Linked DNA regions of Danio rerio. Each later gene encodes a partner of the first gene's protein in a complex. Links are inferred from orthologs where the notes say so. Each region holds a gene or a part of one and is shown on either strand. Other genes may lie near its edges.

Evidence for each region.
Region 2: hbs1l (region 1) and pelo share a complex: the UniProt entries of both Homo sapiens proteins name them as parts of the pelota-HBS1L complex. The link is inferred for Danio rerio from reciprocal best matches to the Homo sapiens genes HBS1L and PELO.

Annotation. Positions count from the first base shown.
Region 1 is NC_133198.1:34,725,176-34,729,007, forward strand, and holds part of hbs1l (HBS1-like protein), read right to left. Parts: intron 2,686-3,832; coding exon 2,459-2,685; intron 766-2,458; coding exon 600-765; intron 504-599; coding exon 386-503; intron 1-385. UniProt on the Homo sapiens protein: GTPase component of the Pelota-HBS1L complex, a complex that recognizes stalled ribosomes and triggers the No-Go Decay (NGD) pathway.
Region 2 is NC_133187.1:13,771,469-13,775,300, reverse strand, and holds part of pelo (protein pelota homolog), read left to right. Parts: intron 1-1,003; coding exon 1,004-1,096; intron 1,097-1,212; coding exon 1,213-1,363; intron 1,364-2,217; coding exon 2,218-2,308; intron 2,309-3,062; coding exon 3,063-3,226; intron 3,227-3,832. UniProt on the Homo sapiens protein: Component of the Pelota-HBS1L complex, a complex that recognizes stalled ribosomes and triggers the No-Go Decay (NGD) pathway.

The DNA.
Region 1 (3,832 bases):
GCTCCATTGATGCTCCGCCTCTTTGCCCTTTTTTGACAGTTGGCCACACCTACTTATAGCTTCATTTGCTCTTTTCAGAAACCTATGAGTGACGTCACGGATACAACATCATATCTTTTACAGTCTATGGTCAAAATTAGATTTTTCACCAAAAATCTTTCCATTTGCTAAAACAGAGAAAGTTGTGGCCAAACTAAGCCTTAAAATGACCCCAGAGTGGATGAAAACATCCTAACAGCACACAAGAGATAAGATGCGTTTTTGCCAATCCAATCACAAGTGAATTATGCTAAATATTAGTCCAAGAATGCATTTTAAATGGTAATGACCAGGAAAAAATAAGACTTGAGATAACCTGAAGGTGAGAAACTTTACGTGAAAGTACCTGTGCTGCCCCTGTGATCATGTTCGGGATGAAGTCTTTGTGTCCTGGTGCGTCCATCAGAGTAACAACCTTTGAGTCAGTCTCAAACTTAGTCATGCCCACATCCATGGTCACTCCTCTGTAAAAGATAACGATGATGTTCAGTAACGCATGCTATTATAGATTGCTTTTACACACATTGATTGGCATCTGAATGTGTTTGTAATCAACCAACCTGTCCCTTTCCTCTCCTGTCTCATCCAGTACCCATGCATAGGCGAATGAGGCTTTGCCAGCTTTTTTGGCCTCCTGTTCATACTTATGCATGGTTCTCTTGTTAACGTTCCCCAGCAGATATAACAGATGACCCATGAGAGTGCTCTTGCCAGCATCTACATGTCCTACAAACACACAAAGCCCACATTTTCATTCATTGTATATACAGTTTTGATAACCAATGAAGTGACATTCAAACATACTTCAAGGGTGCATTGAATCAAAATGTTAAACTGTTCTCTGAAATCTACATAGTAGGTATGTGGCTTGGGTAAATTAACTAAATTCTCCAGAAACAGTTGTATATAATCTTTTATAACCATAGGAATTACAACTAGAATGAAAAGCTCAGTTTTGACCATATTTGGAATGATCATTAATATTAATTAGCTCTGTTCTGATAGTGTTTATCTCCGTCTCTTGCTCAAACACACAAAAACACACAATGGGATGTACTCTGAAAAATAACATTTAAAATAATAATACTTGATTTGTTATCACATAATTTTAATTGCGTAGATGGCTTTTAAAATAGTTTAAATAGTAGTAGTAGATAGGTCACTCACTCCTTCTAGCTAAAATAAACCTATATATTTGCCACTAGAGAAACCTAATAGAGTTGTGTATGAAATATTGGCTAACTTACAATTATATCTGACTAAAAGGCCTGACAGAGATGTAATTGGTTACATTTTGAAGCCTTAATGTATATGAAAACACAGATAAGATTTATTATTAACCACTCCATAAACCAGGCATGTACAAACTCGGCCCTGGAGGGCCGGTGTCCTGCAGTTTAGTTCCAACCCCGATCAGACGCACCTGAGCTAGCTAATCAAGCACTTACTAGGCTTTTTAGAGACATCCTTGCAGGTGTGTTGAGGCAAGTTGGAGCTAAAATCTGCAGGATATCGGCCCTCCAGGACCGAGTTTGGACACCTCTGGCATAAACAGATGACGTTTAATAAAGTGTACTGATGTCCTTTCATTTAAGAAAACACACAGTAAGAACTGAGTGGCATAACACAATGCATAAGCATGCATTCAACACTAACATTTAGCAGTTTGCATGTGTTTGTCGCTTCATTACAAACATAAGCAGCAAATTTCACAACATACAGGTTAATCTGACAAATGCCATAGTTAAACAGACCTTTTGTCTCTTCGGGGTGGTACTGAATACGTTTACAATCTATATATCCCGCATTTTGCATTCTGACATGCTGTGAACAGACCCAATGCTCTATAGGTCAAGCTTGTCTGCTTGCTTCCAAGAATGGCTCCTTTACTGTCTTAATAAATGGCTTAACGACTGGTCCGTTTTTAAAATAAGAGTCATAAGATACATTGTCAGTAGCCAATCAAACACAGTATGAGGCGCACATTTTAATGATACTGTATTTTGTTTTGATAAGCCTGTTTTCAATGTATTTTTTCCCAAGATGTACATGAAACGAAAAATCAATGATGTTTGAGGTTGACAGAATGACATTTCCATGTACTGAACTCTTTCTATTCAGCTATGCCTATCCAGATTTTCATTATATGGCACCTTTAAGTATAGCTTAAGGCTAACAAAGCAGTAAAGAAACATCATTTGATTGCAGATATATAAATGTTTGCACAAGCTCTGCAACACTCCAGTCAGGTCAACTTTATTTAAATAGCACTTTTCAATAGACTGTGTAAAAGCAAACAGCTTTATGGTACTAGAAGTGTCACTGTCTCTAGAAATGTCAATGTGTTTAGCAATTACAAACATGCAAAATGAGTACACCAAATGAGTGAATAAAAAAAAATGCTGATATGATAGCATACCTATGACCACCAGGTTGAGTAATGGTTTTCCTCCTTGTCTCTTCTCCAGTTCAGCACGGATGTTGAGCTGCTGTTTGCTTTTTCCGGATGGTCGAGTTGGGGTCGGAGCAGCAGAATCTTCAGTCACAGTCGACTGTTTGGATGGGGTTTCTGTGGTTGGTACAGCAGTGGCCTCTGGACTCGGCCCTCTGCGAAGCGAAGGAGCCACTCCGCCATTTTCCTCTGCACTATAAAAACGGACAAAAGCATATTATAATTTCTAACACAGCCTTATTCTTTTTCTTAAAGCAAATTAAAAACATGCCACAGTAAATCCAAGAAGGCTATAATAGATCATTAATTTCATATATCATACCGTGTTATGGAAAAGGGTTAAACCTTCCCAATCTATGTTGTTGTAAATAGGTAACCTACAGTTCAAATGGGTTGATAAGATTAAACGCACAAATAAAATTAAACTATAGAAGTAATTTATGCTAACCAAAAGCATATAATATAAATATAAATTAATAAATAGATAAATAAATAATCCATGTGTGACAATATAAACATCTTCATTGCAGCTTTTGGTCAAATTAATGAATCACATATCAATATACGTACAAGCTTCTTCCAAACTACACAACAAAAATCTTCCTGACCTCAAATATAAGTCATTGTGCGATTTTGTAGATTGAACAATTTTTAGGGCATTAAAATTATTATTTTAAAACAAAAAATGCCACCTTTTACCTTCTAATTTCATTTGATTGTGTGTAAACTTATTGTTGTGAGTCCTCTGATAGTTTAACCTATTAAATGGAAGTACAGTGGCTGCTCCACCTGCAGAAGCCCCTACACCCTTCTTTCTGAGTTCATCGGGTGTGGTCTGTGTCTGGAGGAGTGGGAGTGATAGGCTGTGGCTTTGTGTTTGCGAGTTTGAGATTAATCTACATGCACCAGCCATCTCTGTGGTTTACTGCTGTCCCAGAATGCAATGCAGGTAGATAAGAGTTGGACTGGATTGAATTCAGCACCATTAATGATTGTAACTGAAAGAGCTATAAATTAAAGGAAGAGTTCACCCAAAATGAAAACAGCATCATCTTTTGCTCACCCTCCACTTTGTACATATATGAGTGGCAAGCAAGTAGTTGATGGTAACTATGGAAGCTGATGAATATAGAGAACTGTTTGATCACCAACATTTTACAAAGAAAAACAACCACACTGGTTTAGGTGAGTAAATAAAAATTGAGTCAATTTTTGAGTGAACGGTCACTTTAAACAGTTCAGACAGAATATTTTGGTCTGCAAATACTTCAAAAAAGCATGTTAACAAATGAAACTAATCTCAATTGTACTACAAGAAACAATGAAACCATGTAATTAACT
Region 2 (3,832 bases), on another chromosome or scaffold:
GTTCTTCTGAACATGGCATCTTTTGCCTATTTCTTGCTGCCAGAGACTTGACAGCGCTTCTTCTCACAAATCTGAACCACATTTGGCTTTAGAGCGGAAGCAGTTGAGACCCTCAGTATGGCTTGAAGATGATCATCATTAAGTCTAGACCTGTACTTTGACTTATTGAAGTCCTAGGGAAAAAAGTGGGGGAACTCACTCAAAACTTCCATTCCCTCACCTAAAAAAAAGGCGTATATATGTATAAATAAAACACCCCCACCCCACTCCAGTCACATCAGTCTGTACCAGTCTGTATCTACCTATAATATCAATATATATAAGATGCAGGGCAGGCACGTGCACACATAGGGCTCAACCTGTGCAGAGCACATGCCCTTTTTAGTCTTGCATAGAAAGTGCCCATCCAAAATGATCAAAAGTGCCTCTGCGACGCGACACACATAGTCCCGCCCTTCAGTAGGGGCGCGATAACACCGCTCTTGAGTACGCGCGCGACAACACAGCTGATCAGAACGCGCGCGACAACGCGCATTGAGTGACAAGCGCGCTGTGTACGGATAGAATCAGCGGAGCGGGGAGCGCTCTCTCTCCCCGCTCCGCTGATTCTGTCAGAGTACAGCGGTCGGCGCGGGACACAAAATATTGCACTGAGGGCCGCAAATGGCCCGCGGGCCGCGAGTTTGAGACTCCTGTTTTAAACGATATTGGCGAAAATGGGCTAATGATAACTGTTTGTTTCAGAGTTTGTTTCTTTTATTAAACTACAATAGTCTGTTAAATTAGAATAAATAGTTATTATACAATTCTTTAAGCATCTATAGTACTAATATATGTATATAGAGTATAATACACAAATATACATTTATAATACCATTCAGATTAGACTTAATTAGTTTTCGTTTAAGTTGCAAAACCGGTGTTCAAGATTTCAGTATTTCCCTTTTCAGTCAGTCCAAGGCTCCTAGTTGTAATTTCTTCTATTTTTATGTTTTTTTTTTAGTCAGGTGACACTAATACCTGACGAAGCAGAGGATATGTGGCACACCTACAACCTACTGCAGGTGGGCGACAGCCTCAGAGCTTCAACCATCAGGTGGGTCTTAATTGTATCACACTGTATTTTATTTATTTTTTTGGTTTGGTTTAGCACATTTAGTATCAGAGATTTCACTTGTTTACTTAATAAAAATATTTCGATGTCACAAACAGGAAAGTGCAGACAGAGTCTTCCACGGGCAGTGTGGGCAGTTCACGTGTGCGCACCACATTGACTCTTTGTGTGGAAACCATAGACTTTGATTCCCAAGCCTGCCAGCTCAGAGTCAAAGGAACAAACATCCAGGAGAACCAATATGTGAAGGTCAGTATGCATTTAGATTTGTTTTCGTGACTTTGTAATTAACTTTAGCTCTCCCAGCATTTGATTGCAGTCCTGACCAATCATACAGTCAATATTGTGCTCCACTCTTTGTCCTACCTAAAAAAAAAACACCATATACATACATAAATATACATTTTTTTACATGAACCTGAAAATTGCAAACAAATTAGGTAATGTATAGTCTATTCTTATCCAAAAATTGTTTTCAAAATTGATCATGGGGACTTGGATTACCGAAATGTCACCATTTGCTTTCTATATTTAGCAATACCGCAATCTTTTGTTGTAATTGTAGGTATAGCACAAATAAAAGATTACAGTTTTGAATTATGTTTATACAGTCTTGCTCGTGTTTATATGATCTAAAATGACAGTTCGTTCGGTTATGTTCTTTTTGTTCTTATCTCCAAATGCAAGTGTAGGCTTCAATCATACTTATGCCTTGTTTTATTTAAGTTTGGATGTCGTTTTTTTAGTCATTTAAGTTTTAAATTACACTTACAACTTAAATATATGATTTAATAATAATATTATTATTTAAAATTAAGTTTTATATGCATATTGCAGACATTTTTGTCTAATTTCGTCTGAAATGATTGTCATTTTTCCAGAAATTATTTATTATTTTTTTTCTATGGGACTGCACAAATTAATTGTCAGTGACATGGCTGGTAGTAAAAACTTGTTGAACTTGGCAAAAAAAAAAATGTTTTAAATAACTGAGAAAATATATTTATAGCTAATATTCACCCTCACTTATCTTATGTTGTCATAGTAGAAATGTGAACGTTGCTTTAAAATGAGACATGTTGCTTCTATTGTGTCATATGTAGATGGGTGCCTATCATACCATAGAGCTGGAGCTCAACAGGAAGTTTACCCTCGCCAAAAAAGTCTGGGACAGCGTGGTGTTGGACAGAATTGGTAATGTGTTGGTGTGTTTTTGCTGCATTTTCTGACTGAATTAAACTAGTTTTGCTTGTACAAATTTTGCGTACTTTGTGAAAATGTCAATAAATAAAAAGTAAAATTATTTTGTTTAAAAAAATAATGATATAATATTTAGTGGCTCAAATAATTAGTTTATTTTACTTCTGGTAAACAAAGAGTGTTTTGTGAAGTCGTTCAGCTTTCTTTTGGGCACATAAAAATGCAGAGCAATCAGATCTATCAAGCTTTAAAAACAATTTGTCCTCGCTCTTTACATTTACTTAAAGCATAGGTCTCAAACTCGATTCCTGAAGGGCCGCAGCTCTGCACAGTTTTGCTTCAACCCTAATCAAACACAGCTGATCCAACAAATCAAGCTGTTCAAGACTAGCAGAGTAGACACTACTAGATCAGCTGTGTTTGATTAGGGTTGGAGAAAACTGTGCAGAGCTGCGGCCCTCCAGGAATTGAGATTGAGACCTATGACCTAAAGGCAAAGTTCATCCAAAAACTTTTGATTTACTCATTATTTACTGTAGTTCCAAATGCTTGTGTGTTGCTCTGCTGACTCTAATGCCAAAACATCATACTGCCTGTATTATACGCGCACCTTGGAAACATTGGTGAACAAAGTCATTCGAGTTTTTTTGGGGGGTGAACAAAGCCTTAAATTTTTTTTTTACGTGAAATACATTAAATTGACGCAATGCCTTAATAATTTCTAAACTTGCCTTTATTAAATCAACAGAGCAGGCATGTGATCCTGCTCAGAAAGCAGATGTGGCCGCTGTCGTGATGCAGGAAGGTCTGGCCAATCTGGTTCTTGTGACTCCAGCCATGACCTTACTAAGGGCGAAGGTTGAGGTCACCATCCCTCGCAAGAGGAAAGGCAGTTGCACTCAACATGACAAGGTGAACCAAACTTCTTTTTCTGTGTCATAAATAGTTTTTATGTATTCCATAATTTTTTTTACAGGCAGGGCTGCACAATTAATCAAAAAAAGGTTGCGATCTCGATCCTACACACAATCTCAATTCAGCTTTTCTACCAGTTATATTTTCATGGTGAGGAGAGAAGCTTAAAGGCGGTTGCACAAATCTTCATATTGTTTTACATACTTTACTCAGCAACATGGACACCTCCAAATGGCATAAATGTGTCACACACTGCATCTACAAGGTATAATTCACCCAAAAATGTTGTTACTGTCATAATGCAATGACGTATTTGCGGCTAAGAAATGACCCCTAATCTGACGAATCTGATGTTTACTACTGATAGGACACTAGCCCGCCAATGATGTTAACTTTAGTGAACAAAACCTGCATAGAGTGTGAATAACAGGTAATAAAGTTGTAAACAGCGTTCAGTTTGTTGCACAGAGTGGTCATTTGGGAGCTGCGGAGAAGGTATGATTAGATTGTATGTTTTTTTTTTTTTTTGAATATTATAATCCAACTTTAGAATTATGAATGGTTGTATTCTGATGTCATCACACTGTGCATTAATGACCAGGA